Linked DNA regions of Sus scrofa. The protein of the gene in region 1 purifies or fractionates together with the protein of each later gene. This does not show direct contact. Links are inferred from orthologs where the notes say so. Each region holds a gene or a part of one and is shown on either strand. Other genes may lie near its edges.

Region 1 (3,749 bases):
AATGAAAAAAAAATTCAGCCAAATGAAAAAAATTCATCCACAAAATTTATGCAGTCTAGGAGTTCCCGTCGTGGTGCAGCGGAAACGAATCCGACTAGGAACCATGCGGGTTCGATCCCTGGCCTTGCTCATTGGGTTAAGGATCCGATATTGCCGCGAGCTCTGGTGTAGGTCACAGACTCAGCTTGGATCTGGCATTGCTGTGGCTGTGGCGTAGGCCGGAGGCTACAGCTCTGATTAGACCCGTAGCCTGGGAACCTCCATTGGCATGGGTGTGGCCCTAAAAGGACAAAAGACAAAAGACAAAAAAAAAAAAAAAAAATTATGCAGTCTACCGTGTAGTACACCTCAATTTAAAAAGAACGGGAGTTCCCCTCGTGGCTCAGTGGTTGACTAATCCGACTACGAACCATGAGGTTGCTGGTTCAATCCCTGGCCTCTCTCAGTGGAGTAAGGATCCCACAATGCCCTGAGCTATAGTGTAGGTCACAGAGTGGCTCGCATCTGGTGTTGCTGTAGCTGTGGTGCAGGCCGGGAGCTGTAGCTCTGATTCAACCCCTAGCCTGGGACCTTCCATACGCCCCGGGTGTGGCCCTAAAAAGACAAAAAAAAACAAAAAACCAAAAACCCACGAAAACAAGAACAAGCCTCCTGGGGGATAGCCCAAGGGGCAGTATTTGCTCTCACTCGCCCTTTGGTGGGGGAGGCCTACAGGGGGCGCCCCAGTGTCGGCGGCGGGTTGCGATTCAGCACAAAGGCTCTTGCCTCACGGGCACCAGAGACCTTGGGGCTCCGGTGGGAAGGACTTGGGAGTCCCCACCCATCCCGCCCAGCAGCAGTTCCGGGAACCGTCGCCTCCGGCCACCCCGCCACCCAGCCACCCAGCCACACCACTCTCTCTGCCGGCCGCGCTGACGTCACCGCCTCGCCTCGCGCCGCCGTTCTCGCCCCGCCCCCTTTCCCGTCTTGCGCCGCGGTGAGGCTCCTCGCCCTCGGCTTCTGCCTGTCGCCCCAAGATGGCGGACACAATGAGCCGGTGCCGCGCTTGTTGGTCCTGAGGTGATTGTGAGGGGGAACGGTCGGCAAGGCTCCACAGTTCAGACAGAAGAGTGTTGCCCGAGAAGGCGGAGGAAGAGGAGTAGGTGGCCCGACTGTCGCCCGCACTCCCTCTGGCCGCCAGCGCAGCGCCGGTCCTGCCCCGGTCGGCCCCTCGGCAGCCCGCCCGCCCGCCGGGCCCCGCCCCGGCCTTGCGCCGCCGCCTCTAGCAGCCGCCGCCATGAAGCTGACCGACAGCGTGTTGCGGAGCTTCCGCGTCGCCAAGGTGTTCCGCGAGAACTCGGACAAGATTAACTGCTTCGACTTCAGCCCTAACGGCGAGACAGTCATCTCGAGCAGCGACGACGACTCCATCGTGCTCTATGACTGCCAGGAGGGCAAGTGAGTGCGGCGGTGGCCTTGGGCTCGGGTCTGAGTCCCTCCCGCCATCCCCGTCTAGGCCCAGTGCTAGTCCGGAGGCCCGCCCTCCGCCCGGCCCCCTGCCTGTTTTGCACACGCTCCTGCCAGGACCGCGTCCACTCCGAAACTGTCCAGGAGACCTTTTTCTTTCTTTAGAAAATAAGGATAGCAATAATAATAATAATAATCGTATTTATTTTCCCCGCCCCCGACCTTCTCAGCGAGCGCTTTTGCAGCGCTGGCCGAACCCCACCTTGACCTTGACCTTTAAACGCCCGGTCCGCCCACCGCGGCCTCAGCTGGTAGCTTTTCCGCCCCTCCGACTCCCTCGAAGGTGCCGGTTTGCTGTGGCCCCCGCGCGGAACTGCAGAGGTTGCTCTGCTGCCTCATTCAGCAGCGGCAGCTCCCTCTCTCTGCCCTTTCCATGGTGACCTCGATTCAGGCCTGGCACTCCGCCCATCCCCTGCCCCTCAGCTTCCCGCCGCCTTTCTGCCTGAAGGCCGCGTGGGTTGCAGTTGTTAGCTGTCAGGATTTATTTGTTGTGCCTCTTTGGGCCCTCTTTCTTTTCCTTTCTGTTCCAAATAGTTCTCTTACTCCCTCAGTGCCGAAGCCTACGTTTATAGTTAACTTTTTAACAACATCTGAAACTTTTCCTTTTTGCCAGACACGTACAAACTTGGCGGTCCAGTCCTGACCTGAATGTGAACCTCCCAGTAGAACAAAGAAAGCATCGTCTAACAATTTCATGTTTCCTCTTAACACTTTCTTTTAAAGTTACACTTTATGGTCTACTTGGACTTAGCAAAATTCCTAGTTAGACCATGACATTTGTAGGTTGTCCCAAGTCCTCTGGAGACTCATCACACCTGTATCTCTGCAAAATCTTGAAAGCACCGCATTTTGCTTTTTTCCCTGTGCACCTGTCCGCTTTGCCTCACGCATGTAGTCCTTGCTAAATTGTGAGTTCCTTTGGAGTAGAAGCTGGTTTAGGTAGGCTAAATTTGATTTCCCTTCAGCCATCTTCCCCAAGCAGGCTTGTGGATGTTTGGTTTTAAAGCAGGCTACTGGTTTTCTCAGACTTCATTTTGCTATCTAGTTCCAGATCTTATTTTTTGAATCCTTGAGTTTTTCTCTGTTCCTTTTGTCTTTTTTATTTTTGTTTAAACTGATGTCTTCTATAAATTTTTGGAACTTGTTTCTTCACTTGTGAATTAAAGCTGTATGGCGCTGAGCTATAATTTCTCCCCCTTATAACTTTCCTGCTGGTATTGTGAAAAAGTCTTATGTTACTGGCTTCAGGATCTGCCTGAAGTATGTGGAAGAGGGTCCTATAGTGGTGGTTCTGAGAAAAGGGTTGTTATTGTTAGCTGGACCGATGCTGAGTGATTCAAGTCAATGTTACTCATTTCTGTCCAAATCTGGCCACTTACAGCAGCCTGGAAGAGAGAGTAACCTATAAAGCTGGGGATTGGAGTTTTGGAGTCCTGGAGCTGGAAGTAATTTGAAGTTGACTTGCTTGAAATGTTTAGTGCTTGTGCACAGATTAGAACCTCTCCTTGGAACCTGGAGATAGAGATGTATACCTACCTCATTTAAAGGAAATGAAGATGGTGATAGCATTTCTTCACAGTATGTCTCCAAATATGGCATATTTTCCACTGATTGGTTGTAGAAATGACATCGACTTGAAGTGTTGTCTTGTTAAAAGTAAAATGTTAATTTTATAAATAATACAGTTCATTCATTCAGGTAGCATTTTACATAATTACAAACTTACAGAAAAGTTACCATATTGTTTCAGAGACCTCCCACTTGATCCAATAATTGGTTACATTTTGCCCCATTTGTTTTGTCATTATCCATGTGAATGTTTGTTTATATGTGTGTGTCTATATATGCATTTTTGTCTGAATCATCAGTAATATGGAGGTATTAAGGCTCTTTATCCCTCAACACTTCAACATGAATTTACTAAGCACAAGAACATTTTCTTAGGTAACCAGAGTACAGTTATCCAAATTAGGGAATTTGGTATTTATACAGTAGTATACAGTATGCTCTTTAAAAGTTGTATGGATTAATTGTGACCTGTTTCATGTGGTCTGTGGTAAGAGAGTGGCTTGATAAGAGACCTGGGTTCTAGTTTTGCTTTGTGACCAGGTAGGTGTATGACGTAGATTAGATCAATTCTCTGGCCCTTAGGAAGAAAAGTAATGTTTTATTGGAAAGCATAATATCAATATCATATCATAATCAACCTCTAATATCAATAATATCAATATCAACCTCTAATA
Region 2 (3,282 bases), on another chromosome or scaffold:
GTCTCCTAGTCTGGAAAATATTAATTGGAGTAAACAAGAATATTCCTGGGGGATCCCCCTGTGGCTCAGTGATTAATAAACCTGACTAGTATCCATGAGGAGGCGGGTGCAATCCCTGGCCCCGCCTCAGTGGGTTAAGGATCAGGTTGCTGTGGTTGTGGTGTAGGTTGGCAGCTGCAGCTCGATTAGACCCCTAGCCTCGGAACTTCCATAAGCCGTTAGTGCAGCCCTAAAAACAAAACAAAACAAAACAAACAAAAGAACATTCCTGTTTACACAGGAATGATAAATCAATCATACATGTTATGAGCGCCAACTGTATACACATTGTCCCACAATGACAGGCTGAGAATACAGGTCATTGGGCTCTCCCTCAGCAGGTCATATCCCCACGGCCCAAGGGGGGCCTGCAGACCGGAGTGGGTGGCAACCAGATACTTACAGCCTATACCTGTACTGCAGCCCCTCCTGAGTCCCAGTGTGCCACTCTACTCCAGGGGCGTGGGAACGCAGCTGCAACTAAATAAAGCTTGGAGACCATCAGTAGTTGACTTTCTTGGTTCATCAAAATTTTATTAACAAAACCAGAATTGGGGGAGGCCAGGGTGAGCAGACTCCACAGTCCCTCCCAGGCACAGAGAATGGAGAAACAGAGGGATACACAAGAACGTGAGAAAATTCCGAGGCCCTGTGGTGAGGGCAAACAGGCAGTCAGACGGTGGATGTGCACCAGGAGAAACTCAGGGGCCACCGGAGAAACATGAATGGCAGAACAGACAAACGAGGATCCAGGGCCCTTCCCGCCAGGAGTGCAGGGAAAGAGGACATCTGGGCCACTGGGGCTCAGCGGTCGGCACTGGAGCGCAGGTCGGTTGTGAGCGGGTCATGCTGGATGGTTTGGTGTAGCATCAGGGCCAGCAAGCCTGCTCGGTTGGTCATCGCTGTGCGTACATTACGTTCCTGCTCAAACAGCTCGTCTAGCTTATACCACTGCCGGGGAGCAGAAGGAGCCGTGAGAAGGGGCTCTGGTGACCTCTGCCTGACCCTGGCCACAACCAGCATCAGAACCTACCACACGCACGCGCTCCAGGTCCACCTCGGCCCGCCGCAGCTTCTCCCAGCAGTAGTGGCGGTTGCACTGGCGCTTGGGCAGGCGGCAGAAGTCACCTGTGAGCTCAAAGACGTCCCGAACCAGGGGACAACCACATACCTCATCAGCTGGCACCTGCGGGGAGATGGGGGTGGGGAGGTGGGAAGGAGGCAGGAGTGGGGAGTGGTCAGGGAGGAGGAAGAGGGAGTGGTGAGTTCGGGGGAAGGTGGGAAGGAATGCAAAGGGGAGGACAAGGATGAAGAGGCAGGATAAAGGGAGGAATAGGAGGTGATGCAACAGGCAGAGGAGAGGAATGAGGGTGAAGAGGACAGGGAGCTGTGAGTGGGGAGGCAGGCTACAGGGAAGGAAGGAGGGCGAGGAAGGGGTGACTATGGGGCAGGGAGGGAGGGAGGAAGAAGCAGATGGGAGAGTTGAGAGAAACCCTTACTTTGGGGTCCCGTGAGTGCTCAGGGCACAGCACTTGGAGCCGCTTACAGTACGTCTTGCTTTGAGGATTATAGACGTCACAGAAGAGGCGGGTGGCCCTGGTGGTGTGGAGCAGAGAAGGGAATTGTGGGAGCAGAGGGGGCACAACCTCCTTGCCCAAGCCCCACAACGTTCCACTTCTGACCCCAGCCCTAACACCCCCTGCTCCAAGCCCCACCCTCCAGCAGCGCCCACACTTACCCCTCGATGCGTGTGGGGTACATGGACCCAAAGGACGTCTGGCTCTCATACTGGAGGGGTGAGCACAAACGGAGGGAACTGTGGATGTATGCCGTGTGCCCCTGCGAGACGGCACATCTGTCCCCAGGGACCCAATGCTGTCCCCACACCGTCCGCCCCCTCAGGCCGACACCCTGACCTTGGCATAGCAGCGCTCCATGTGGCGCAAGGCAACTCGTGGGTTGATGGGGTGCCCGCAAGAGACGCAGAAGATCTGCAGGTCTGTGTCATCACTGTCACCCTCATTGCTCTGCACCGGGGAGAAGGGACGGTGAGGCCAGGCAGGACCTGGTACCAGGCCCCGAGCTGCTGTGCCCGTGCTTGCTTACCTCCTCATCTTCACGCACAGCCTGCTGCTTGGCACGCAGGATAATGGCCTCAAGCTCATGGAATCGGCGCTCCATCTCCTGAAGGCGGGTGCGGGCGCTCTGCTGCTCCCGGCGAATGCGCTCAAGCAGCTTCTTGCCATGCTCCTCAGCTATGCAGGGGCTCTGCTGCCACTGCTGGATGCGCTGGGGGAGGATCTCATAGATGCGGCTGCAGGGAGGCAGAGCATCGGTGCAGGCAGGGGAGAAGGCCAGCGACAAGGTGAGGAAGTGGACACCCAATGGGTGGGTGATGCAATGGGGAAGGGACAAGTAAATGGGTGACTGAATGGGAGATAGCTGGGTGGATGAGCAAATGGATGGATGGGTAAGTCACTGGATGGACAGGTGGGTGCCTGGTTGACTGAATGGTGGCAGGTGGCCAGGTGAGGTGACTGACTGGTCGGCATAAAGGGGGCTCTGGTCATGCCCTACTCTGTGCTCGCTGACCCCCTAAGCCCTCCAGGAATGACTCACTTGGCTGCCAGCTTCATGCCACAGTCGTCTGAGCAATACTTGGAGCCGGGCTGGGCAGGGCGCACACAGCCAGGCCCCAGGCACTGCGGTAGCGATGCTGGGTCCTTGGCATCAGCGCGCTCAGGGTGTTTCCATTTGTCCTTGTGCTTCTGCTTCTGCCGATGCCGCTTGTATCTTTCTTCTTTCTGTGGAGAAGACTGGTCGGGTCAGGGCAGAGCTGAAGTCAACCCCAGGTCCTGTCTCCCCCTACACCCCCACCCACCCCGCTTCCTGGTTCTCGGCCTCCCTCCCCACCCCAATTCCATTGCCTCCATCACCTTCTTGTCAGACTTTTTCTCCCGACGCTTCACATGCTTCACTTTCACGGCCCTCTTCCGAAGCGCGGGGTCCAGGAATGGGGACTCCTCCGTGTCACTCATCCAGGGCTGCAAGTGAGGCAGGCACTGATTCGCCTGCTCCACTCCTAACTTCCCCACCACCCACTCGGTCCCCAAATCAGCTTTCCATACCCTCTGCCTCCTCTCTCCTCATTATGGACATTCTCTGCTTCTGTAACCTCTACCCTTCCACCATGGGACGCTCTGCCTGCTCACCAGGCCATGGTCATCAAAGGCCCCTGCACAG
Region 3 (3,649 bases), on another chromosome or scaffold:
AATACACTGTGTGACTCTTTAATGGTTGTCTAATTTCTGACCACAGATGAAAAGAAATCCTCTTTGCAATTATTATAATTAATCATACATAGGACAACCACTGAGCAAAGTAACTGTTATTTAAGAAAAATTTCTGAAAAGAGGATCAAAAACACACCAAGGGAAAGTCTATCCACATTTTCAGTATTTTAGAGGATCCATGGCATAGCATATTGTTTATTTTATATTCAAAAATGCTTTCAGCGCTGTTTTCAAATCAAACTATTACAGAGCCTTGAACTCCCTGTAACAAGTCAATTGCTTACTCCAGACTTGTATCCAAATTATCCTGGACATGCCAGAGTGGACCCATGGTGTAATACATTAATAAAGGAGAGTTAACCTGACAGAGGAAATCATTCCAAAGACAACTTGTAAATGTAAAGTGTATGCCCTTCACATGAAAACCTTTGTGGAATTAAAACCAGCCCACATACCTCCATGACAGCAGAATATTTTCTCATCCACGATGGCTGCTATCGGTAAACAGTTAAAGCAGTCTGTGAAAGTTTTCCATAGTTTAATGTTATATCTTCTTTTACCTGTGAAAATTTGGGGATGGTTAAAAAGAGACTGGTGTTCTGTGGGTACATTATCTAAGGAAAATTCCCCCCAGGCAAGGTTCTGACTACCTTAAGTAAACAAAAACTATGCTTTTATTAAAAAAGAGAATTAGGACCAACTATGAAATCTAGTCTGTTTTGTCCAATCTCAACCCACAGGTAGGTTCCTATTTCTAAAGGCAATTAAAAGCAACTCACACACTTGCCATTATAATCCTTCTGAAGAAGCCTCTGAGAGTTAACACCCATCCCAGCTCCCACCACTGTAACTGAGCAGGGCCTTGTGGGGCTCCTGGGCACAAAAGCCTTTCTGTGTCCCCCATTTCTTGTTTTTAGAAAACGGGCCTCATTCAGCCTCCAGAGCCTCTCAAGCTCCTGGGGACAGGTTCAGATAGCGGCTAATTAGGAAAGGAAGGGGATGCAAAGACAAGGAGGAACAGTCAAGAAACGACTGTACAGCCTTGGGGCAGGATCCTGGTTCCCTCTCAAGGGATATACATAACAAAGCAGACATCTTTATTCACCTAAGAGAAAAACTATATTCCTTGTGCTTCTTTCAAAGATGAATACCTTAAAATTGAACAGCCAAGACTATTTCCTTGTCCTCCTCCCTGGCTTAATTGTACCCTAAACACAATCACCCATAATCTAAAGATTAAGCACCCTGAGCACAATTGCCTGTGGGTTAAAGATTATTAGCACATGTTTTCCAGGAACTTTCCTAGATTGTTCTAATCTCTGATTAATATACTATTTTGCAAGTACTATTACTCTAGGCAATAACCCAGAAGACTACCATCATGATAGTGCAGAGATCTATCTCCTGATGTCAGGTTTTTTTTTTTTTTTAAAAGGGCCACACCCATGGCACATGGACGTTCCCAGGCTAGGGGTCAAATCGGAGCTGCAGGCACCACAGCCACAGCAACACCCAATACTTAACCCACCAAGTGAGGCCAGGGAACCTGCGTCCTCCTGGATACTAGTGGGTTCATTACCTCTGAGCCATGACAGGAACTCCAGACGTCAGCTTTGATGACTACAATTCCCACAAAGAAAGAAGAATGCATGTCTGCTCCAATCCTGATCTGTAGCTGAAAACCTGTTCTCCTCTTTTTTAACATACCCCCCCGCCCCCCCGCAATTCTTCCCAGTGTAGGGCACAGTCTTTAAGGAATTAGCCTGCTGTGGCCTCCTTTGCCTGGCAAAGCAATAAAAGCTCTTTTTCTCCTTCACCCCAAACTTTTATCTCCATGTTTCTATTGGCCACTGGTAGACAGAGGCGGAGTTTCAGCAACATCACTCTCAGGAAACTCCCAGTACCCCCCAGCCATGCCCCATATTCTTGTAGGAAGCACAGTGCATACAGGGGAATACAAACTGCTTATCACAGGCACAACAGGATATATCCCTAACATGCTACACAAACGCTTAGAAAAGATCTTATAGGGTGGTTATATTCCCCTCACTAATCCATGTACCCTATGCATTCTTAAGTCACTGAGTGATTCAAATTATGCATGCCCTTATGGCACTGTTTCCATAGAATTATGTTCCGCATTAAAAACCTACTCATAAACCCTGGAAGTACATATCTATCTGAATTGGTTGGGGATGTCTCCATTGCTGGGGTGCCTTTGTCTCCTATACCCTCCACAATAAAAGACACCAAAGGTCAAAGCACAATCTTATTCCTAAACTGAGATTTGGCTCTCAGTCTCTTTTTCTCTGTATCTGGGTAAAACCCTACACCCAAGGTTCACACTGTTCTGTATTTCTTTGCAAGGCACTAATTCTCTCTGTCCCATACTTCCTTCACTGGAGGGTTCTGGAAGCGTTAACAGAATTCCTTTGTACAAAAGCCTGAAGGGGAACCTCTGCACAAATACCACCTCTAATTTCCAATAATGATAATAAAGTAAGAACAGGGCTGGGCTGTCTTAACCCTTATTATAAAAGTGATGTGACCAGAAAAAAAAAAAAAAAGTGATGTGGTTCTTTCTCCATTTTCTACTGAAGCCTATCTCTGAAAAACCATCCAATGGCTCTCCTGGATTTTTCCTTTGCTCAAATGCAGCATTTGCCAGTGCCGACAAATTCTCTTCCTTCTTAAGGTCTGCTTTCCTTCTTGATTTCTCTGTTACACACTGCACTCAGCTTCTCCATCAAAAGATTCTTCCTCCTGTTGTCTCTGAGCATCTTAACTGAGTCCTGGGCCCCTGCTTTCTCTCCTCTCTACACTTCCTCCCTAAGGTCACTTCAGACCACTAGGAGCATCTGGCTCAAGAAGGATTCCTGGATAATTGCCAAGGTCTCATCAAGCTTTCAAATCGCTGGGTTCTGAGCCAGAACCCCTAATGCAGTTTCCTATTTCTATAGACCAGACAGCTCTGGTTATAAAAAAGGGATAACAACCCACATTTTATCTAACAACAGATACCTCTCTAGGACTGCAGTCAAAAAGCTGATGGAGGGGGAAAAAAAAGGCACAGAGGGTGCTTGTTATACTTAGGAAATGAGTCTATTATGTTAAGCAGTGGTTTTAAAATTGTTCCACTGAGGAGTTCTCATGGCACAGCAGAAACAAATCCAACTAGTATCTACGAGGATACGGGTTTGATCCCTGGCCTCGCTCAGTGGTTAAGGATCCAGTGCTGCCATGAGCTGTGGTGTAGATTGCAAATGTGGCTCGGATCTGGCATTGCTGTAGCTGTGGCCAGCAGCTGCAGCTCCAATACGACCGCTAGCCTGGGAACCTCCACGTGCTAAGGATGCAACCTTTAAAAAAAAAAAAAAAAAAAAAAAAAGTTCCACGGAAATTTACATTTGAATAAAATTTCCAAATACAATAAAATTACCAATGGTTTTTTTAAAAAGTTGGCAAACTATCAACTGAAAGCCACCTATATCAAGGACACTTCTAGGCCCAAACAGACTGAGTGGCAAATTATACTTGCCTGATGAGAGAGGGGAAAGCTGGAGTACAAGGTCATTATATCAGTCTTGAGGACAAGAGCCAAAATTGACACCAATCAATGCTGACCTTC

The links.
Region 2: the proteins of WDR82 (region 1) and CXXC1 purify together in Homo sapiens (affinity purification with western blotting; 7 studies listed by BioGRID and IntAct, with this or other methods). This does not show direct contact. The link is inferred for Sus scrofa from reciprocal best matches to the Homo sapiens genes WDR82 and CXXC1.
Region 3: the proteins of WDR82 (region 1) and PPP1CC purify together in Homo sapiens (affinity purification with mass spectrometry; 5 studies listed by BioGRID and IntAct, with this or other methods). This does not show direct contact. The link is inferred for Sus scrofa from reciprocal best matches to the Homo sapiens genes WDR82 and PPP1CC.

What each region holds. Positions count from the first base shown.
Region 1 is NC_010455.5:34,409,395-34,413,143, reverse strand, and holds the start of WDR82 (WD repeat-containing protein 82), read left to right. Parts: upstream 1-953; 5' UTR 954-1,276; coding exon 1,277-1,437; intron 1,438-3,749. UniProt on the Homo sapiens protein: Regulatory component of the SET1/COMPASS complex implicated in the tethering of this complex to transcriptional start sites of active genes.
Region 2 is NC_010443.5:99,933,947-99,937,228, forward strand, and holds the end of CXXC1 (CXXC-type zinc finger protein 1), read right to left. Parts: coding exon 3,252-3,282; intron 3,084-3,251; coding exon 2,976-3,083; intron 2,844-2,975; coding exon 2,659-2,843; intron 2,354-2,658; coding exon 2,146-2,353; intron 2,067-2,145; coding exon 1,956-2,066; intron 1,828-1,955; coding exon 1,778-1,827; intron 1,636-1,777; coding exon 1,539-1,635; intron 1,226-1,538; coding exon 1,073-1,225; intron 991-1,072; coding exon 844-990; 3' UTR 547-843; downstream 1-546. UniProt on the Homo sapiens protein: Transcriptional activator that exhibits a unique DNA binding specificity for CpG unmethylated motifs with a preference for CpGG.
Region 3 is NC_010456.5:32,074,221-32,077,869, forward strand, and holds part of PPP1CC (serine/threonine-protein phosphatase PP1-gamma catalytic subunit), read right to left. Parts: intron 582-3,649; coding exon 477-581; intron 1-476. UniProt on the Homo sapiens protein: Protein phosphatase that associates with over 200 regulatory proteins to form highly specific holoenzymes which dephosphorylate hundreds of biological targets.